Styela clava: one gene and its partner. The protein of the gene in region 1 binds, or shares a complex with, the protein of each later gene. Links are inferred from orthologs where the notes say so. Each region holds a gene or a part of one and is shown on either strand. Other genes may lie near its edges.

Region 1 (11,855 bases):
GTATGAATAAATAAGCCAAGGCATGCCAGCCTCGTATGCCCAGTAATCTCGCGTTTCAACTACAACAAAAGAGGACTCCGTGAATTGGTTGTATATGTATATTTTGGCTGCATGTGCATGTTACATTACCACTGCAGCTCTATATTCGGAATTACCTCAATGTGTATGTATCCATCTCGTCCAACCTGACAATGCCCTTTATGTATCGGGTATTCTCCTTCGGCGACCAATTTGCAACACGATTCCGGGTATTTCTCGTCGTTATCCGCATAAAATTTTGACTCCTCCCAATCCCAATATTTCAGAAGGCCACAACATTCGCCCTGGAAAAATGGAAAAAAATCCTCATCGACTTGAAATGTTTACCATCGTACCCGCGGGCCAATTACAGACTGCGTAACGACTTGATGGCTTGAAATTAAGTGAAATTGTTCAACGCTTTATGTTTTTGCCTTTTTGCGTTCTAGATATTGCCATTTATTATATCATTGTCACAGTTTAGACTTGTATATATTCGGAACAATTCAATCGTACCGATATCTTAGTTATTTGCCGTTGTAGGCGTTTTTCCATTTATACATTTTAACTAATATATATCGAAATCTGGATTAAAATATTTTTATTTTACCACCTCCTACGTATACAAATAAGAAAAAGCTAACATATACATGACAATAAGTTATCATTGTTAAATTCAATAATTTACATCTAGAATTAGCGCATTTTAATTAAAGAGGCACATTGCACACGCATAACTTGCAGTGGCCTTACGCCGGTCTGATAATTTCCCAAGTCCAGCGCTTTTTCCAACAGGCCACCCTGTGATGTTTTTCACACGACGAAAATGAATTTATGATTTCAAATTAAGGTTTTTATGAACCGCGATCTGACAAACAAATCCCAGAATTATACATTTTGTTTTAGAATACTCCCGCTGCTAGAACTGTTAGAAGCATTTGAACACCCAACGCGTAATATCATATTCCTGGTGCACAAAATTACGCCAGTCATAATCACCATTAAATAATAAAACCGCGATCTGACACCAAAGTTTTTTTTTATAAAATGTTGGTATTTTATGATAATGTCGTATTTATTTTGTACTATATATATACTGAGAAGACCTATTATCCCAAGAAATTGCCCGTTCAACGAGAAAAAATATAAAATTCCATGCATCGTCCAAAGTGAATAAAAATAATGTTAAATTTTGTACCTTGCTCTGAATCTCGTCCCAGATGTCCGTGACCTCGTTTTTGACCCCATATTCTTCCTTGTATGAGTCGACTAACGACCAATGAGCGGTCACGAAATAGTCAAAAATAATGATGCAAGCCACAACCTTCAGGAATATTGCTATGAGAGCAATAATGCAGTACTGTAAAAGACACGTGGAATTGATAAGACTAAAGACCTTTCGACTGAAATGCTAATTATAAAAGAATTATGGCGACGCTTTGTCATAAAGTAATCGACAAATATTATATTTCAAACAAGATTAGGCTACTTACGATCACAACCATGGGTTTGCTCTTTTTCCAAATCGCTACAAAAGCCAAAATCGTCGTCAAAATGATCACCGCACCGGCTACAATGAGAACGTACATTCCAGCGAACATAACTTTATCGATCAGCTTCGTCAGGCTGTCATCGTGGATAGCCCAGATGCCAAGGCCGAGTACAACAGCTCCGGCGATCTGTAAGAAAAAAGTAATTTTTAATAGCAAGTTTACTCAAAGCAAGGTCACTTAAAAGGAAAGGAGACTCGTCTCTAAGCAAAGTTACGGGTGCACTCAATCAAAAGTAAACGAGGCTCATCTCTCAGAAAAGTTACGAGTACTCACTCAGAAGCGAACGAGACCCGTAACTTTGCTCGAGGACGAGTCTTCTTTATTTCTGAGTGAGTGAACGTGACGTCAGTAACACTCAGCACTTTAGCAGTCGCTCGTAACATTTCTCAGAGGTGGATTTCTTTTACTCCTGTGTGCGTTTGCGCGATCATGCTTTGAGCAAATTTTTTAGAACAATTTTACCTTAGTGATATTTGAATCACAACTAAAAGCGGGATAAAAAAATACTGGCACGCTGAAACCAATATATAAAATTTTTCTCGCGAATTGGATATTCAATGGACATTGGCTATCACAAGACTTAAACGATTCAAGTCATTTGATTATTTAAAAGGGGTGTAAAATAAGCGATAAACCGAGGGTGTTAGGTTTGCATTTTCCTTTACTTACAGCTGGTTTGTATGATCATTCTTCTGATTTTTCCTTCCTGTGCGATATGAACCCTATTCCAATTTGGTAAATTAAAAAAACAACTCACAAAGCCTACTGTACCTCTCCTGAGGGTATTATTGTAATTTACTTGTTATTTGCTAATGTTATATCAATTCGATTATTGTATGGTGTTATTTTAGTGTCAGATACATGAGTTAAAAATTACGCAAAGGTTCCGCTATTTACATTATAAAAACAATACTCTTTTTCAGTAATTCTAGAACGGACTGCGAGAATCGGCTAATATTTTTAAAGACATGCGAAAACGAAAAATGTCAAGAAATACTAAACAGATCGGGGTTTTTATTTCTTATAGTCGATTGGCTGTTATTATAGTCCATCAGGATTACCGTTTCTTTGTAACACAAACCCTTTTCATATTCATAAACCTTAAATGCAACTCGTTCAATTTAGATCAGTAGTTTTCATGGGTTCCGCGGCAACCAAGGATTCCGACAATGCTGTCTATGTGATTTCGCGGATTTCCGTTCAAACACTAAGAGTCTAATTAATATATATATGCAGTGATGGGATTCAGCCGGTGCGCACCGGTTCTATAGAACCGTCTCTCGAAATTTTATGAGATCGGCGAACCGGTTAGCATTACTGGTTACTGTCAATGTTCTGTTTGTAACAGAACCGGCTGAAAAATATGCCTTTGTGAAGAAACCGGCTGACAAAAAATTTGAATTTCACCACTGTATATATGTATATTGTTCAAATACCTATTGGGTTTGCCGCTGTTATTAAACTTACTAAACCTGAAACATCATTTTGTTTTATCTGTATTGAATTTGCTTTTATACATAGTTTATACAATTCAGACAATAAAAGACAAGTAAACAATTGCACAGGGGGTACTCGAGCCGCTATAATGTTTCATTGGGATTCTGTTCCACTAAAAAAGTTTGAAAACAAATGTAAAAAATTAATAAATCTAAGCAAAAACATAAACTTACAAAGCATATAATCTGCAATACTATGCATGTCGTCTTCAAACATTTTTCTTTCGCTTGCATTTCTGCCGATCCCGCGCCAAGGCGGTTCCAAAAACTAAGATAGAAACTGAAAAATATTCAACGTATTAAAATTAATTATAATTATATATAGATAATTATTAATTATAGATTTGTTTTAGTCCAGGGCATCGGCAAATGTTGAAATGAGATTGACTGATTATTTTTCAAATTGAAGACATAGTAGCCTGTTATCTACTGATTTGGAATATCGAAGGGAAACGTTTCCGGGGGTGAAAAAACAGAAACCCGGATGAAGAGACACTCTTGCATGAAGAGATATAGGTAAGCAAATTAGCTTAGCAATTAAGTTAGGTTCAACTTCGTCGACTTTATATTTCTCTACGATTCTAGTTTTTACTTATCTACGAGACACAAAATTTAATGTTAATTCTTTGCTCAGTCGTCATTCTTTAATTGAACCCCCCATCGCCAAAAATTTCCATCAGACCTCGCACAGCATCATTTTTTTTCAGCAAGAAATATATCACATTCACTTATGTATCCTGAAAAGCAAAAATAATTGCGATATTGTGTCAAAACAGCTGCTAAACAAAGAACACATATTACGCCACACTGCAAAAGTGTTGATTACCGATGGTTGATCGTGTTGCGCAATCTGTGACGTCAGTCCCGTTTCTTTTTAGCCATACCTCGTATATGCACGATAATAATGCATCTGGAAGGAATATCTGGTCAACTATTCCGATATTCCATCTAGAATGGCATTTAAACCAGAGTCCGTGGTTCTTCGAATAATCAAGAATTAATATATATATAGTCCGCGTGGTTTCTCCCCATGGAATAAGTGAAATAAATCCTCTCCTAAACTTTGGTGTCACTTCCATACGATAGTTTTTTTTCGGTGACCGTACATTTGAACCCATGTGTATATCCGCGGGTTCAATCTATACGCGGGTTCTAAAACCCATGGGTTAGGGTTAGTATGGGTTCAAATATCCGTAAAACAAATTTTTTTTTCATAGGTGCGATAGTATGCAGGTGCAATTGTCGTGGGTTCAGATGTAATGGAACCTTTTTTTCGCATCTACTTCACCTTGAAATGCCATTTTCACGTTTAGTATAATATAGATAGATACAAGCGTAATACTACGCAAATTCAAATAATAGTTATAATTGCCAACGGGCCCACATAATTAGCTACGGATCCGTTGAATATTGAATAAATAAAGTAGCCGACTAGCCGTTATATATAGAGAGGAAGAAATAACATTCCCCAAATAGGCGAAGAAAGGGAATTTAACGAGGAAGGTTGTGGATCACTAGCATAGAGAAATAGTTAATCCTGGCCTTGGATTTCCACTGCACGCGTTGCTCAATAAAAACAACAAAACCAGTAATTCTCAAACGGCTGGGCGCGACCCACAAGGGAGACGTAGACATTTTAAAGCTAAACACTTGTTAGATTTGATCTTGCTCGCCTTAATTTGGATATTTACATTTTCTTTATTGTTCAGAGATTGCGATTTCATCCACGCAACCTGTTTTTAAATAAAACATATTTTCGACTCACTATCTGTTATTTGTAGTTTATTGTTAGCTAGTTATTTTTGAGGTGGGGTGCGCGACTTGACAAATTCTAAAAAGGGGGCGCGGCTTAAAAAGTTTAAGAATCACTGAACCACTGAACGTTCGCACTAAGCTAAGTGTTTTCATACAGCTAACGCCTCGCCTTAGGATCGGTTTACAAACACTAAAAGAATTTCCGATTATCTTATACGTTGCTATTACTGGTTATATCGCCCCAGGGCTGGAATAACGTTGAGAAGTAAGTCTGACTGATACTATTTGGAAGAATGGTAAAGTTGACTTGCATTGTGAAGCAATTGAAACGTAAAGGTTATGTTATAGGGTTTTACGTATTTACGTATTTACGTAAAGACGCCTTGATGATATGGCAAACCACGGCTGCCAGTCCATGTCAATTATGAGATTAGTTAGCCAGTTATTTGTTTCAGATGCATGGACTTTTCGATGGAAGAAGCCGTAACCGACCAGCCATCACGTGAACCACCAAACGGCGGCGCAAGTCCAGAAATCCTGTTGCACATGATTATCCATCCTCCACAGGAATCGAACCTGCGAACCCGCGCAGAGAAATGATGCGCGACCACCGAGCATTTGTCATATTTCAAGCAGACGAGGGGAAAACCAGTAAGACGCTCATCAATATAGTAGGTAAAACACGGTCATAAATGGGTACTCCTGGAGTATGCGCACCAAGATATCGCACAACCTGAACCCTAACCTGGTATACAACCTCAGTTCAGGTTGTGCGCCATCTTGGTGCGCATACTTCAGGAGGTCCCATAAATGGGTTTTATTCACGCCAGTATTTGTAGTAACAGCAATACTGCCTCCGGAATTTATATATTATATATACCTATATTATATATGGCGGAAATTGGCCTATGAACAATAACGATTTATCTGAGTAACGACATACGTCTATTGACGCAGGTTACGCTGGGCGCACGATATCCGTATGTAATTTAAATATTGTAAAGGATCGAGAGCTATTTGTGACAGTAACCGTGAACTCTTTGCCCAGGGTGGGTTTGGTAACTAGCTAGTGCAGGGCTACTCAACTATTTTTACCGAAAATCCGCATACCGAACTTCAAAATTATTTGGGTCTGGTCTTTCCAGAATTTATATTTCGGCATCCTTGAACGCACACTTCCTCGACCGGCTAATGATTATTAGCTAATCAAAATTGCTTATTATGGTGTTATAGTTCTTTTCATATATATTCAAAACTATAAAAGTCATTTTATAAAAGGAAACTTCAAAAGTGAGGCTAATGATCTAAAATAAAGAATTAGGTGCGGTCCGAATCAAATACTCGAACGGTCCGGATTCGGACCACGGTCCGCCGGTTGAGTAGCCCTGACCTAGTGGTAATGAAAGGGAATGATTGAACGCTATATAAATTTTTTTTTAAATATTATGTCTGAAGTGCCGATTTTAAATAGTAAGTAAATGAATTTGAATTTTGAAGTTGACCCCATATATGTAGGGAAATCATTGGCCCCGTGCCCCGTGTGTACAGTGCCTTGTTTCAGGCTATGATATTGCAGGATATTTTACAACTGACGCCGCATTTATTGATGTGAAGCTAGCAAATAAGAACCCTCCATTGTGGTTTGTACTATAATAACGTACATTACGCCTACGCGGAATTGCTTAAGATTAAAATTTGGCCCTTACTTGGTTGAAGATGCCTATTCAAACACGAGGAAGCGATTTTCTGCATGCCAGATTTTGAAGTCCTTGATTGAAAAAAAAAAAAGAAACAAACTACACGAACAAAATATTACGCTGTTTTGCATAGTATTTTTAAAAATTAATATATTTAATAACATAATAAAAAATAAAACACTAATTTCAATTTAACATCAAACTGATAATAGTCGATCAAAAACGATTTCGAAAAGAACTTGAGTACAGCACAGCCGTTTTTTTGGTATTATGCACAGAGATATCTGGCAACTGTATACTCGGGTAGCTCAATGCTTTTCAAATGGGAAGATGGCAAGCCAGGCGACCGCGGTCTCCCTTGGATCTGTAAATGAACGCCGTTTGAGACCCGTTTACGGTAAGAAGTTACGGTTTTGAAACTTTATCCATATACTATAAATGGGGCATAATTTCAAGTAGCACTGATATATAGAACTTACAAGGTAAGGTCTTTACTACTTAGGACAGTGCCCCAGCTTTTCGTTTTAGTGGGGGGGGGGGGGGGGGGGGATTTCAAAAGAGGGAGGGAGGGAAATGTTATGCTTGATTAGATATCACATTATTAGTGATAAATATATTTGTAATTATAAAAATATGTTATGTATTTGACTAACTATCTGCACCTGTATAAGCTACCTTATTTTCTGAATATTCAAATACAATAATATTTTAGTTAGGAAATAAAGTACGGTACAGAATTACGGAAGGAATTGTTAATTCATCAACTAACTGTGGACTGGTAACTGGACAACCATGGTTTGGGCACATGATGAGCTGCTAATCACCTTTCCTCTTTCATGAGATAAAATGTGGCGGGGATTTTTATTTAATTTTTATTTGTTTGTATATTTTTCTTTTTACTGAGTAGTAGAATTTATGTCTCGTTTTTTTCTCTTCTGATCTTATTATGTCTTTGTGATCGTGTGTCTGCGTGCTTTAATTAGTTTTAATACTTTTGGGCGAGCGAACACATACTTCTTCCTTCATCAATACATTTTCATCGAAAATCTGTACGCTTCAAACCTTACTTGAGGTTTCGTTTGCTCTCCCGATTCTATATTCAGTTTTATTTATTTGTTTTTAGCAATTGTTTTATCGTCTATTATGCTGATTATGAAGTTGAAATAAACTTATACCTAAATATGACACTCTATTCTAAGTGCAGTGACAACAGCCTCAAGTTCTGAAGTTGTGCATCGATGACTTTAATTAATGAGTATAAGCATAGGTTTATTTCGACTCCATAATCAACATAACTGGCAATAAAATAATTGATAAAAACAAATAAATCAAAACTGATTATGAAATCAGGGGAGCAAACAAAACACAAAACCTTAGATAAGGTTTGAAACATGAAAAAACGTAGAAAAAGCATAAAATATTGGAGAACCATACTGACCAATGTTAATCTTACTTAGACATAGATTACTTCTATCAGTAATTCTATTTTATTTGTGACTTTATCACCATATTTCCAGAACATCTTGACATTGGAAACAACAAATCAGCTCTTCATGAAGCAGAAAAAGTTCTAAAGAAACAAAAAGATTTATCAGCAGCCAAGGTTAGCTTTTATATCTTGTATTTCATCCAACTCTCTCATGATTTGTCCTTCGTCTTTATTCTTGTCAAACCGTCCTCGACAGACAAACCAGTACATCTTGACATCTCATTTGCCGGGTGAAACAGTCTTAGATGGTTGGATTGAGCGGCGTTGTACTCCCATAGTACAGTAGTATGTGTACCAGGGTAGGGTTAGGCCATAATTTAATTCCGGTTTTCCTTATTTTAGTTCTCTTACGAGTTCGGGGACTGTCTGTGTTAGCCAAGTGAATATAACCCCTGTCCATAGGTTTCTGTCCCTTTACACAACTTGATGTAAAGTAGGCGAACAAAAACACTACTGGAGTAGCTGTTTGACGTTGTTTATTGAATCTATATTGTTTGCCTTTTTTCAATGTGCATATACTTCTTTGCTAAGTGACACAATCTCCCCCATTTTTACTGATTCATTTTATTTTTTCAGGTTTTGAAAGTCATTGCGCTGAATCGTCTTGGACGCAGAGATGAGGCTTTTGCATTATCACAAGAAGTTGCAGCTCTGGGTCCGACAGATGAAAACAGTTTGCAAGGGCTGAGCCTGTATTATAGAGAGACACACAGACGTGAGTATTATTTCTACATTTTGGGGGGTTATGTTGATGGATGACTTCGATGGTATAGAAAGTTGGTGGTATATAAATATGTGGAATATTGCATGGGGACCACCAATACTCTTATATACTTATTTGCCACAGAATTCAAACCTTGAATATATCGTTGATCGATTAGGGATTAACTTTGCATGTTGGAGCAAATGTTGCGATCTCAAACTCTTATTCAGAGAAACAGCTGTACTCTGCCTTATATATAAAATGTTGCTCCAATGTTGATTTATTTATAATAGTGGAAAACGAAATTAGCTTGAAAATACAACTGTAGGATACCCATATATATCCACACTCTATATGGCTTTTTATCTAAAAGACGTTTAGTTTGGAGTTATTCATACTGGGATTCTAAATCATGTAATATGTGAATTGTGCACCAAAATTACTACTCCCGTGAATCAAGATGGCGGACACCGGAACGTAGTATGTGTACTAGGTTAGGGTTAGGCCATAATTTTATTCCAATTTTTCTTACTTTGGATATATTACGAGTTCAGGGACTAGCCAAGTGACTCCTGTAGTATTTGTACCGGAAAAACCCTAACCTGGTACATAAACAACGGTTCGGTTCACATTCTTTGAGAGTACCCCAAAAGCTGTCAGTTATCATAAATTCTTCTTCTTTTACAGATGACTTAATTCCTCCCATTTATGAGTCTGCAGTTTCAAAATGTGTCGGGAACGAAGAATATCTCACACATTTATTCATGTCTTATGTGAGAACGGAGAAACCAAAGGATATGCAAAGGGTGAGTGAGTTTTTCTTCAACATAAAATCAAGCTAGAAATTTATGGAAAAGTAAAGCTTGATAAAGACGCTTTCTGTGCTCCTTTTTTACTCTGAGCAAGGTTCTGTTCAGGCGGGCAATGATACAAATTCGAAACGACCAGGATCTTTCTGGTTTGACACTGAGGTGAAGTGCTGGGCATGGGATTGAAACTAAGACTTTAGGCTGTGACGCCAACATAGCCAAGTTTAACACTTAAATAACCCCCCTTTCCTTGTGTTCTTGGCTGCACTTGGTTTATAATATAGGCGGGAGAGAGAGATTTTGTTTTTCCGTCAACCAAAATATAACTACAGTCATCGTGATAATAAAAAAACAAGAGAGCTACGCTCAAATATATGGACTCGTCTGTTCGCAGTACATTACGGTTTACTGTGCCGTCAGATCACAGTCTACAAATATATTCACACCAAGCGAAGCAGTACAGTAGGACACAAAATGGCGTTTGATGTTCGCAGAACGTTCAGTAACGTCATACCAAACAAAAACAAATCTCACAGAGCTAACAGAAATATTTGAAATAAATAAAAGTAATAGCCTTCTGGGGAAAAATTCTATCTTCAACTACTGAAAATTCCAAAGCAATTGGTCCAGTAATCGAAGAGAAAAGCGAATTTTTAGATTTTCCACTAGGTGTCCAAAAAGTGTCAAAGAACAACAAGGACAACAACAACATAATATTGAAACGATCGTTATGTCCACTAAGTGTCCAACAAGTAATAAATTAAGTTTGGTATAGACGGGGGAGTGATACGAACAGGCGGTCATCAAAGTCAACATCCCCCCTTTATGTTTAAGATTCCCATTGTTGATTTTTGCGAGTATGTATTTAGTTTTTACCTAAAACTATCTTTTATATATTGTTCAGGTTGCCATTTTACTTTACAAACATCATCCTAAGAATCCTTATTTATTCTGGGGCATCATGGCGATAGTAATGCAGGCCATCAATGATGAAAAACTTGGGAAGATGATGTTCTTGCCCCTTGCAGAAAGAATGATTGAAAAACATATTGAGAAAGGAAAAATAGAGGCCGAAGCGGGTACGTTCATTTCGTTTGTTTGTTGTAGGGGTGTCTAAATAATCTGTTTAGACCGGATTATTTAAAATGTGCCTCTGTGGTTTTCTCAAGGCCATAAGAAAATACCTTTACTTCACCATTCGGGATTAGTGAAGTAAATTGAATTTGATTTGTTCAATTGTTTTGTCATAGAGCATTTCCTCCTTCGCTTTCGCTTGTTGGCTTTACCTTGTAAAACAAGAGAGCTACGCCCAAATATATGGACACGTCTGTTCGCAGTACAGTACGGTTTACCGTACCGTCAGATCACAGTCTACAAATATATTCACACCAAGCGAAGTAGTACAGTAGGACACAAAATGGCGTCCGATGTCCGCAGAACGTTTAATGACGTCATAGCAAACAAAAACAAATCTCACAGAGCTAACAGAAATATTTAAAATGAATAAAAGTAATAGCCTTCTGGAGAAAAAATCAAACTAACCACTGAAAATTTTCAAGCAATTGGTCCAGTATTCGAAGAGAAAAGCAATTTTTTTTAAAATGATGGAGACAAATAATAATAACAATAACAACAAAATTTTGAAACGATCGTTATGTCCACTACGTGTCCAATAACTGGTAAAAAAACATCAATTTTATTTTCTACAAATCTTGAACCATTGACTGGTGTATTTATTTGAAAAATTATGGTGTTGAAAGTGTCTGGAAATCGGCCACGAATTATGCAAATTAGGGTTCCAAATTTATGCTATTGTTGAAAGATGAATTTCAATCTCTTACTAGAAAGAATTTTACTAAACTGCTTAAAAGTTTTGTTTACTACAAATTTTCGATCATGACTGGCTTATCTGAAAATGTATTGAAATGTCCTTTTACTGACTTCTCGCTTGTTAGAATACAAACATACTCTCCTGAAAAGCCATTAGGGAAGTTTAATAAGGGCGTATTGGTTGACGAGTAAAATAATTCGCAAAACGACTATACAAAATGAGTTCAGGGAAGCTATTGTTTAGGATTAAGAATTAAAAATATTTACAAATTTTTTGGCTGATGGGGTCTGGATTTATTTTGTTAAAAAAATTTTTCATATTTTTTTAGAAGTCCGACTGTATCTAATAGTCCTAGAAATGTTGGAAAAACATGAAAAGTGTTTGGAAGTTTTGGAAGGAAAGCATGCAAGTAAGTCTCGTAAAACTTTGCCACGGTTTCCAACCTCTCTGGTGGAGTGTAACTACATATACAGGGTGTCCATAAAGTCCCTTTACAATTTCAAT
Region 2 (11,831 bases), on another chromosome or scaffold:
AATAAACCTAAACATTTTTAATGGCTGTTGGTGGTTTCAGTGGAGTTCATAACGTTTCTAATAGAAGTGTCTCGTTTACTCTTAAGTACGCTCATATGGCTATGCATTGAACAAATGTCATAATGAAAAGATTTTACTTTTTTTTTTCAGGATCACAAACACCGGTGATTTACGAAAAAAATTACTTCAAAACTGGCAACGTGCTCGAGTCGACGAGACAATAATAAGACTTACCTCGAGTTTTACCATCATGACGTCATTATCTGTTATCATTGGATTGTATAATTCGTGATTCAGAGCCAGGACTGCTTGGATTGTCTGTTCTGTGCCTTCAACAATGCTTCGGTCGTGGTCGCCGATGATGACTTTGAATTGGTCTGGTCTGTGAAGTTATAATTTAAAGTTAAGTTCGTTCTTCTGAAACGAATAACTGATTAGCCGTTGATAAAATCGTTGAATAATCTTTCCAGGGCTGTAGCCAGGATTATTATAAGCGGAGGGGGTCAAGAATCGGAATCGAAAATTCCCGTGCAACGGCTTCTAAAAAAAGCGTCGCAATTACGGCATTCGTTAAAATAGCCGACTTTGTCAGTGAATAACGATTTTCTGTTGTGTGAAATATTTAATACATGGCCGATGCGAGCTTTTAAAATGTATTTGATATTAATTCAATGGTGTTCATCATAACTCGCCTTCGCGTGCGTCGACTTACGATAAAATGAAAGCACTACTACTAGAATACTAGAGAAATCTGCGGACATAAAATGTGTGGTAAACTGCCGATTACTTATGGAAAAATAATTTATACTATTTCCCGCTTTTAGGCAAATGATTTTGATAATGATAGTTGAAAAATATCGACTTTTTTTTTGTTTTTTGTTTTTTTCTGTTGCGACAAAATATTCAAATCCCAGAACGATACCAGCATTTAAAATGCCTTTCGGTATTAATTTAATTGTGTTTAACGTGTGTAAGTCATGGTTGCGTCGACTCACGTAAAAATTGAAGCATTACTGCTCTAAAATACGACGGCAATCTGCAGACGTGACATGTGTGGTAAACTGATTGATTTTATCTTCGAATGTATTCAAAATAGTGAATTATTCGGTATTGGACATCCCTGGTATTGAATGACCTGCTGATAAATTTCAGAAAAGTTTTTCGTATAATGTGCGCAAAAATATTTTTATGTGAGTGTGCCACTATTGAGCAAATGAGAACAAAAGTAAACGTATAACCTTCTTCAATTTTTACGGGTACAACCATGTATTGGCAAACTACTTGGTATTGTAGTCTTTATTAGTCACATATTTCAATACTACTTACTCGTAATGACAATGTGCAGCCGATAAAACCCACGACTCGTGAATCAGAGTTCCGCAGCAGAAATATGACGAATACCGATCAAGATGTGCGATATACGGAGCTGAATGAGGTCTGGCTTCGTATCCACCAACGATCTTGTCGCATTCTAAAAACAGGAGAGAAATGATAAAATATTTGGACGCGATGGTCAGGTAACTCACATGGCGACAGCAATTTGAGCAAAATTGTCAAATTTTGAAACTATTTTACTGATGTGATATGGAGGTTTTACCGGGGAAAGATGGGCGAGAATTCTCGATTCAACTGGATTATTTGAAGAAAAAATGTTGAAGTTTTAAACGTGAACTATAACATATAAAAATATCAGCAAAGTTTGTTTTGAATTATCGACGGGACTCAGATCAAACAGCAACACCCACAAGAATTATTCAGCAAAACGACTCAAAAGTCAACAGTGTTTTTATTACCGAAAAGACAGATAAAAATATAAGAGTTCAAACTATATTCTGATGTTTAGTAAAACGCTGTCAGTAAAATTGTTCTGCCCCGGCCATGGAGGCGGGAATGCACAGTTCAGTGATTTTTCTATTTTCACAGTGAACCTTCAATCCAAACACTTTAATATCCCTAGCATAACTGGTATAGTTTTTTGCTTACATAAAATATATCGATTGCTTCGTGCCTTATTTCACTGCGAGTAGATCCGGTAGCAACGAATCGCAAATCTATCACAGCTGGTGGTGCGATAATTTGTTGTTTCAAGATGTTCTTTCAATTGTAACTAAATCTTATTCCTTTACTTAAAGCTGTGCAAAAATTTAACCCAAGGGTTCTGATATCATTGTCTATCTCAGTGGTTCCCAAACTTTTTAATATCGTTACCCCTAAATCGAATAACTAAAAGCTCAATTACCTCTTCCATAAAAATAAAATTATAATCACGGTAATAAGTTGAATGAAATTTAATCAAAAATGAAGCTTTGGTATTAGGTCTCTGCTAACCGCGTTACCGAATGCATTAAGACGTAATAATGCTCATATACCAGATGCGAACATCCAGCTTTTCCGCAGACCAGTAAAAAGTACGGGGCTTACACAAGAGATTTTTTAAGACGGTTAACGTATGAATTACCCCCTAAGAATGTCGAATTACCCCCAGTTTGAAAACCACTGGTCTATCTCATGACAACTTTAGAACTTCTCGCCTTCTTCTTTTAATATGAAAAGTTTGGGAAAGAACTAAGAAAACGGTGAAATAGTCGATTACACTGCGCCGATCCTCACCTGTATCAAAATGAACATCATACAAACGACATAGCCTTATTCAAGTATACTGGATCCTTACCTCCATTTCTGACAGATAAGAAACACAATACAGTCCAGCAAATAAACTTCGATGGAAACATGTTGCTCCAATTTAGCCGACGTAGTAACTTTGTTAAATATGTGCTAGTACCCTACTCGATCCACTCTATTCTGTTTATCCAGTTGTGTTATTTAATAGGGATCCGCCAGAAAAAAAAATTCACGCTCATAGAATAACAGGTAAAATGCGCAAATATTTTGTCGTGACTGTAAAAAATCGGGAATATTTCATCCGCTACTCGTTCGTTGGTTACCTAATCAAAAGTAAGCTTGCTTCAGTTGAATTCAATAGACCTCAATTAGAGTCTGATATACTGGCGAAATTTTCACTAGTTTTTAAATAAACACCTACATCAATATTACACGCAAATATATTTACAGTATGAGAAATTGATACAAGGGATGTCAAACAACATTCTACGATAATTTACATTACACCATGCATGGCCGTTTATAACAAACGGTTTGTTTTACGTCACTCTCTGCCAGGTGGCAAGTTCTCACGCAGACGAAATTGAAAGAACATAATGACATCAGTTATCGTATAATATAAATTAATCACAATGAATGGGATTTCCTCTGCCATAACTATGTTATTAAGTATTTTATACTTTTACTGCGAAGGAATTTTAGACTTAAATAGACTATTACGCAATGAGCGTTTCAGTTTTACTGGGTGTCTCGTGGTGGTCCGTTGCGAATTTTGAACTATATGCCTAACATCGTATACGCCAGCATATTTGGTCCAGAAGACTGAATGTGGGCGAGAAAATTGATCGCGGTCTCAGGATGATGAATAATTCGCTTGTCAGTGTTGGCCTCTTTCACCATATCATTGTACCTTAAAACCCATCACCCACCCAGTATGTTTCATCACAAAATTTGCACGCCCGGACGACATGAGTCCACGTTATCACTAGAAATTTATACGTACTGGGGCTGCATGTTTGTATATTATGCTACATATAGAATAGGCAGCGGTGGAATCCAGTAGGTTTGCGTGAATCCTTGGAATGTCGTAATGATCAGCAAACCCGAAATTGTGCATGGTTTTGTTTTGTTAGTGAGTTCGATATGGAAAAGAACCCGTTCCTAAACTTTTGAAATCCCATCACTCTGTAATCTGAATCATCTATTACGGCGGTGTGGCTCATCGTACTAAGCATTAGGAATACGCTCGTCTCTGACTACTCTTGCATGTGTTCGCAGGTTCGAATCCCATACAGAGATAGTTATGTGCGAGAGGATTGCTGAACTCCTCGTCGCCGTCGGGTGGGTGACGTGACCGCTGGTCGGTTACGGTTTTCTCCACCATCAAGTACATGCTTCCGGGAACAAATAACTGGTTAATTAACCCCGTATCCGGCATGGAAAGGTAGTCATTCAGTACCGGTAGTTTATTTTCCACTTAAATGAGCATACACTTGACAAAAACTGTGGAAAAAACATAAAAAAAAGGCATTTTATGATGAAGGGTGGCGTGAAAAAAATTATTGTTGGTTATCAAACAGGTTACCGGACGTGAGGCCGTTAATCTGCGTTATCGGCTTTCCTCTCCCCCGGGATTAATATGTAAATCATATCCCATTAAAGATAATTCATCTTGAACTCTACATAGTACAACCAAAAAAATAGGATGGGAAAGGATTTACATATTTATCCCGGGGGAGAGGAAAGGGATAAGACGGCATAGGACCACAATATTTATACCTATTTGTGGCACTGATTTTGCCAATCTTCCGTGTTTTTGTTTTTAGGCTATATGTTTCATTGGGACGCGGGGCACAATTATGGTGCCTGTTATAGAAATTGTGTTTGATCCGAATTATGCTCACCATCGGACCTTCGCGTTCTTTGCACGGATTCGCAGGTTTGAGTCACGTCCGGTTACCGGTCCATTTTGGGTATAGGATTAGTTAGGCAGTTACGGTATTTGTTTCAGATGCACAAGCTTGATGGCGGGGGAAGCTGAAACCGACCGACCAAAGGTCTGCAGGCACGCCACCGGTACCGGTACAGTGCAATACGATTTTTCAATAATGAACAAAAGTTGGGATAGGCAAAATGTTGCGTTGATTTATTTTTTGATTTGGTTTTACTTTATGTTACCGATAGCGATACCTGTAACCAGTTTCATTTTTCCAGATGCCAAACATTGCAGATAACTCTATCCCTATCCTGAATGTATTTGATACCGGTACCGGTACCAGTACATTTTGTACGGTACCGGTACCTCATAATATTGTAATACCGGTACCGGTACTAGCAGACTTATGTTACCGGTACCGGTACTGTATTGTGAGGATAGCCTAGGATAGGATTTACACGTTTATCCCGGGGGAGAAAAAAGTCGATAAGACAGCTTAATCATATGGCGAACCACTGCCTCTCGTCCGATTACCAGGTCAGGTATGGGATTAGTTAGCCAGTTATTTGTTTTCGGAAGCATGGACTTGATGGTGGAGGAAGCCGTAACCGACCAGCGGTTACCGGTACGTGAACCACCCTATGGCGACGAGGAGTCCAGCAATTCTCTTGCACATGATCATCCACGCATGGGATTCAAACCTGCGATCCCACGAAGGGTAATCAGAGATGCAGTGGCGAGCGTATTTCTAACGCTTAGCACGATGCCGATGCGCCACACCCGGTGTCTGGATTTCATGGCCTTTTCGAACGAGAAATCGGGCGTGCAATCAGAAATTCCCGCGTGCAAATAAGAATTTCTGGCGTGCAATTATAGCTCACGGCGTGCAAAACAACTGCGCCCGCTAAACTGATTTCGACCTAAGATACCTCTCAATACATCCGAGTGTTTGTGCGACTTTAGATACCGGTACGGTACTGTTCAGTACATCCGTGTAAAATTATTGTATTAAAAATACGCTGAATCAGAGCCATAACTGGCCAGCGTCGGTGAGGAGGCGATTTTTCTCACGGGATTCCTATCATTCAACACGATATGGTGATTTTTGCTTCGCATTTTTCGATCAGGCCAAATCTTGCAAGCAAGTATTAGTCGACAATTGTAAAGTTATAATTTTTTGGCATCTTTATATTACTAGATTATTGATTTAAAAACTATTTAAACCGATTTACATTGGTGAGCAATTGCAAATTTTCGGCGTGCAAAATTGAATTCGCTCGCGTGCATTTTTGTGGAGCGCTAGCGCCCTCGGGCGTGCATCTGCCATGGAATCCAGTCTGACGACACCGCCGAGCCACAGGTCTGAGCACTTTCTTCACAGATCCTGTTCTTTGATTTGTATGGTGCCAATATTGTTATTACTGTAATATGATTTGATAGGATAGAATTTACATACCAGTATTCATCCCGAGGAGAGGAAAGACAATAACACTGTTTTTTGCGAGAAAATCAAAATATACTTATATACGGTACACTGCTTAATTAATAATATGTATACCATGGCAGCATGGCCTATCGTCCTTTACAAATTTTTCGAAACAGTGCTAATATGAATCAGCTTAGCTTATCATGCTAAGTGTAAGGAGCACTCTTCCTCTAGCACTGAATATTTAACAGTTCAAATCCGGTAAGGAATAATTTAATGTGGAAGAATTTTTGGATTCACCCTATTTTATTATCAAGTCCATTCCCCTGAAACAAATAACTGGTGAACTATCCAATATGTCACCTGGACTGGTACGGTAATCGTAAGGAGATGCCGGTTTGTATACTATAAGTTTAAGCCTGTTGATAGCCTCCGTCTCCCGGTGATAACTTGAAAATTCATGCTCCATAATTGTATAGCTCACTTTGGTTTAAAAATAATCATTGGCAATACTTATATTATTAATGTCTCGCTTATTTCTAAGTGATTAGGTGGCCAATCCCATAATACAAAATAAATCAGTAAAACTTTTCTCTCTTTTTGTACAGCGTAGAATATTATATAGGATGACCTTCTACCGACCTTTCACCTGCTTTGACCTTTTGAAATTCAACAATGTGAACCTTGATCCTTTGACAGAAACTTACGGACTTTCATTTTATCTTCAATATCTTGCAAAATGGCCAGAGTTTTTTACAATTGCAGAATCACCATCTGGAGAAACTATGGGATATATTATGGGAAAGGTTGGAATCATTTGATTATCTGAATTTGTGAAAAAAGAATTTTCTGATCGCAATAATTTTCAATTTGTTTAATCTAACTCTTTAATCGAAAATCGGGTCAGTTTCGACAATTAAGATACTCAAGTCATTTAACATTCAATGATCTTGAATACATCAATGCAAAGTAGTTGAAATAAATGTTGTTTTGATTAATTTTTACAGTGTCAGTAAATGGAGCTTACTTTATGTGAGGATCATATCTTGAATTCTCAAATGACCAATTTTGAAATTCTAAAATCAACAAAACACTTTATCGAACATTAACAACTGATGAATTTTTGCCATCCTTGTCTGATTATGTGAATAAACTTGATTTCGATAGTTTCAAGTTCAAACATAAAATTCTATGTTTGAAATCATAACTTTCAACATAGGATAGGATTTTTATATTTATCATATGTGATAGGAAAACAATAAAATGTCTTAATCATATGGTGGACTCGGGCCTCTTGTCTGGTTACCATTCCATGTCAGGTATGGGAATAGATATGAGGTAGTTGTTTCTGATTCATGGACTTTATATTCATGTTACTTCCTTCTCAAGGTCGAAGGGCGTCAGCCTGAAGAATGGCATGGTCATGTGACAGCAGTAACCGTGGCGCCAGAGTACAGGCGTCTCGGACTAGCAGCAGAGTTAATGCGAAGACTGGAGGAAGTTTCAGAGCAGAAACAAGGATATTTCGTGGATCTATTTGTAAGGAAGTCAAATGAGGTATGATAGAAAGTTTTCACGAAATACAGGTTGTCCATAAACTCCCTTTATAATTTCAATTTTGTTGTTATGTAGTCAGTTCTCAATATATCTCAATCAGGTTTGTTGTTTCTTAGTCAGTAATTGTAAAGTATTTTCACTTCATTTAATACATCTGTGAGGGCCAGAACAATATATGGTATCGATAAATTTCCTTTGCAGATTTAAAAATTCTTAAGACTTTCTGGACACCCTATGTTTCTCAATTTCGCGACAGTTGGCATATCATCGCTATAGCACAAGTTTGCACATTCGAATCCCGTTTTGTGGTGTGGTTGGGGATAATTATATGTGAGAGGATTGCTGGACTTCTTGTCCATGTAACTGCTGGTCGGTTTCGATTTCCTCTATAACTGGCGAACTAATTCGATACCCAACATGGAATGGTAACCGGACGAGTGACTGTGGTTTGCCATACGATCAAACTGGCTACCTCTCCCCCTGAACGCTTTGTTAAATTGTGACTGTTGATCTTCATTCTATTGAAGTAGTTTGAGATAAAAATGACTCCCAGAAAGGGTTGTTTGCAAATTTAATCCAAATTTTATGGATTTTTTATAAAAATTGTGCCATTAAAAGAACATTGATTACAGTAAGCTCATGCTTGCTAAATGGAGATATTTGTGTGGTGTCAATTTTTTGTGCTTTGGCGCTCAGAAATATTACTATATCCATATTTAGAGTGACAGTCCATAGTTCTCATTTAACATTTATTTTATTCAGATTGCTGTTGGGATGTACAAACGTCTGGGCTATTCAGTCTATCGAACTGTTATTGGATATTATTCATCACCTGGAGGCGATAGAGATGAAGACGCTTTTGATATGAGAAAAGCACTCAGCCGTGACATTTTCAAAAAATCAATCATTCCGCTCAAAGAACCTGTTAAACCCGAAGATCTTGAATAATAAAGAATCCCAGTCAGAAATAAGTGGAAATTGACCAAAGCACTTTAGTCTGCCATTGTAATTTTGCTCAGTTATCAATCTTATTTATTACTAAGTTACTTATTTACTCAATTACTTGGAGCAAATTCATCCAAACAAAAAACAGAATTTATATCATAGGAACTTTAACTCAATGGTAGATTTTACTTTTTTTGAGAGAAACCTGTTTGGCTTATATTTTATCATGAAGCCCCTTTATATTTCTACTCTAACCACCTGCCTTAGCTGTCTAAATGCCTAATCTCTGATGAAATTCAACTATCGTTTTGACGTGTGCATGAAAGCTCGTGAATCTGAATCGAATTACTCGTTAACTAAATATATGCCTGACATGGAATGGTAACTGGATGGCAGAATATATAATTAGGCCATTTTATCCGCTTTACTTCCCTCATAGTTAAATGTGAAATCAGTAATTTATTTCTTCGCCATACTGAAAAAATGAACTATAAATACACAAATTCAAAGAAATTTAAAAAAATCTAACTTCAGAGTGAAAGGAGATGCCAAAACCAATTCTGAAAGTCCATTCTGTAATGAATTCGTTGTCATTTATTTTTTCAAACCAATTGCTTTGGTTTTGCATTCTACAAATTTCTTTGCAATCATTCTGTTAATGAGTTTGCTCTGAACACAGGCTTTGTTCAAGCGATAATTCAGAAAGGGTGTCTGCTTGACATTCGGAATGGATGTTTTTGGATAGTTTATTGAATTTTTTCTTTCTGTGCAAAAAGTTTCACAAGTGGAATGGAATATTTTCAATTTGTGATGTATGAATATTATGAAATAATATTTCATCATTTTAGGTAGCCTATGCAATAAGCTACAATCCTGGGTAATTTTAAAGAAAAACAATCAACCAAATATTTCTGATTGGGAGATTGAAGCTTCTTTTTTACATATTTTTTTTCATATTAAACCAGATTTTTTTTTATGTGTACTTTCTTGTCATTCCAGAATGATAGCTTCACTTTCACATAGTGTTTTGTAACTGGGGGGAAGGGGTATAAAAATATCGTAAGTGCCTATTGAGGTTGCAAACATGGTGTGTTTCAAAGCGTATAAAATCTTTCGTAGTACGGGCAGCCTGACAACCAGATCAGATAAAGTGAGTGAATGAGGATAGTTTTAGGCTCCATTTTTATATTGATTTTCTCACTGACGTGCAATGCATTCTAGTGAGGGCCTGACTTTTATCAGTTACGCTTCTAGTCGTAATTTCAGGTCTGTAGATTAAACAGTTCAATGATACAGGTTTGTTTCAGACCACCACCAAGGCAGTTTTTATAACTTTTATTTTGATCATAATCAGAATACCAGGCAAAAAAATGGTTGGTATAAGCATATAAAAACTGATATGAAATCTGGTTAATTTTGATTCGACGATCAACGTAATATACCGTGAATCAACTGAGGAAAGGCAGTTCGGTATGGAAGAGCACGAAGTTTAAAAAAACACAGAATCTGAATATATATTAAAATAAAAACGTGTTGCCAATTAAAAAATTGCTCGAAATATATAGTCTCCGTGGCATTGTAGCTTGGCCGATAGCGTCAACATATTCATATTGAACATGTTTATTTTTTATATATTTCGTATTTTCTAGCTATGTAACAGATTTACCATAAAAACGATAAGACATTAGTATTTGTCAAAATATTTTGGCAATATTCTTCTACTGCTTTTTAACGTTGTTTGTCGAAATCGAATCTCTCTCTCTCTCTCTCTTGATAAATATTAGGCCTTCATAAATGTTATAGTATCGTCCAAAATCTACAATTGTTGCAAGCAATTTTGTGATTCATTACTATTATATAATTTTTAATTATTTCTTTCGTCGTTAACATATTTCAGGATTCACTAAAGCTGTTCTATACCGCTCCTAGTGGTTGTTTCACACGTGCGTCACAGTCTGGACCTCAATTTCCTTATTTCTCGTTGTTTATCGTGCACCTGTCTACGTTTCTTAGCCAGTATTGTATTTAATAGATATCTTTTCTTCGCGTTTTCACAAAAAATGGAGTGTATACCACAAGAAATATCACCTGTAGCAACACTGGAGCCGGCCACTAAGGTAGGAGATTTAACATACTTCTAATATACTACGGTAGTTTACCGTACACTAGGTAATAAGTTAATGCTGTAATGACAAACCCCTGTTTTTCGTTTGGGTTGGATTGGAGAAATACTGTATCAAATAATATGTCCAATAATGGTTGGTCAGTGTCTGAGTGTAGAAGAAGCCACCCTGCCTGCGGTAATGCGAACTGCCTGACAATTCTGCATTAGATATGATTAGTACATTTTGACATTGACATTTTGTTGTAGTTCGGGCATTTTTCATACTTTTGTTTACATACTGGCGAATAATGATTCGAACCTGTCAACAGACAGGAAAATCCAGCAATTGGCAGTGTGTTGCTTGAGCTTAATAATTCGATTCCCAAACTGATTGGTAATTATTTTTAACATTTAGCAACTTGAGGTCCGATCTATTTAGTCAAACTCTTTCAGTCTTTCATATCGGAAACTGATGACCATCAGCTGGGCACAGTTATCCTATTCCAAGATGTCCCAACGTTGGTTTAACACTCTATTTGTCTCTGAAACTATGTTATCTGGCCAAGCTTGTCTTAATCGAAACGCGTGTCGGCAGTCACATGACGCAAATTACGTTTTTACGAGAAACTCTCGAATGCTACCAGAAAAAAATTTTCCTTCAGTAAGTTAGATTATTTTTTCATGGAATCCAATAGTGACGTTTTTGGATTGCGCTTTTTTTCAGTTTACTGCGTAGTGCAAGTGTGACGTTTTGAGTCGATATGAAGACACATATTGGCTCGTAAATGAGGGGTTCGTGCTCACCATTATAATGGACGTGGTTTGATTTGGGGCCTATTCTTGGAATGAGAGAACTGACCATTAACGAAAAAATATACCCTTCAACCTAAATTGCCTTTAATAACTTTCATAATACCATTAAATTGCTGACTCATTCACTCATTTTATCTTATTTATATTTAATCTTATTCGCATCCAATGCCATGATAGTCTTATATACAGCATATACACAAGTGTCAAGCCTTGATGACTTTAATCGGTCCCGCACACCGACCCACACAAAGCAATATTCAATTACTGCTGAAGTATTTTAGTTATTGTATTATGTTTATAATAGTGTTGACTTTGTTTTGTGGCAATAAATCTCTTTCTCTCTCTGACCTGAAATAGAATGGTAGCCTGACCAGAGTTTTTTGTTTTATTGACTTTTCTCACCTGGGAGCAAATTCAAAAATCCTATC

Evidence for each region.
Region 2: the proteins of N-alpha-acetyltransferase 25, NatB auxiliary subunit-like (region 1) and N-alpha-acetyltransferase 20-like are in contact, whole or in part, in a cryo-EM structure (PDB 7STX), measured with the Homo sapiens proteins. The link is inferred for Styela clava from reciprocal best matches to the Homo sapiens genes NAA25 and NAA20. Residues at the interface, in NP_079229.2 of Homo sapiens: Ser226, Glu227, Ile228, Asn259, Asp261, Asp262, Trp263, Gln264, Arg318, Arg321, Leu325, Lys362, Pro363, Cys364, Thr367, Asp368, Val371, Leu457, Thr459, Glu460, Leu461, Ser504, Ala506, Leu510, Leu532, Asp533, Lys535, His536, Ile537, Gln538; in NP_057184.1 of Homo sapiens: Thr2, Thr3, Leu4, Arg5, Thr8, Cys9, Asp10, Leu12, Phe13, Phe15, Asn16, Asn19, Leu20, Pro22, Leu23, Thr26, Tyr27, Gly28, Ile29, Pro30, Leu33, Gln34, Leu36, Ala37, His38, Pro40, Glu41, Pro49, Glu52, Met54.

The regions. Positions count from the first base shown.
Region 1 is NC_135264.1:17,435,571-17,447,425, forward strand, and holds the start of N-alpha-acetyltransferase 25, NatB auxiliary subunit-like, read left to right. Parts: upstream 1-6,811; 5' UTR 6,812-6,849; coding exon 6,850-6,916; intron 6,917-8,036; coding exon 8,037-8,122; intron 8,123-8,584; coding exon 8,585-8,723; intron 8,724-9,398; coding exon 9,399-9,517; intron 9,518-10,424; coding exon 10,425-10,599; intron 10,600-11,679; coding exon 11,680-11,760; intron 11,761-11,855. Other genes in the region: tetraspanin-18B-like, read right to left, coding at 156-323, 1,217-1,378, 1,512-1,697, 3,242-3,301. UniProt on the Homo sapiens protein: Non-catalytic subunit of the NatB complex which catalyzes acetylation of the N-terminal methionine residues of peptides beginning with Met-Asp, Met-Glu, Met-Asn and Met-Gln. May play a role in normal cell-cycle progression.
Region 2 is NC_135250.1:1,477,176-1,489,006, forward strand, and holds N-alpha-acetyltransferase 20-like, read left to right. Parts: upstream 1-6,575; 5' UTR 6,576-6,610; coding exon 6,611-6,790; intron 6,791-7,373; coding exon 7,374-7,541; intron 7,542-8,303; coding exon 8,304-8,489; 3' UTR 8,490-9,504; downstream 9,505-11,831. Other genes in the region: trypsin-3-like, read right to left, coding at 235-382, 1,327-1,471, 2,672-2,732; protein arginine N-methyltransferase 1-like, read left to right, coding at 10,547-10,603. UniProt on the Homo sapiens protein: Catalytic subunit of the NatB complex which catalyzes acetylation of the N-terminal methionine residues of peptides beginning with Met-Asp, Met-Glu, Met-Asn and Met-Gln. Proteins with cell cycle functions are overrepresented in the pool of NatB substrates.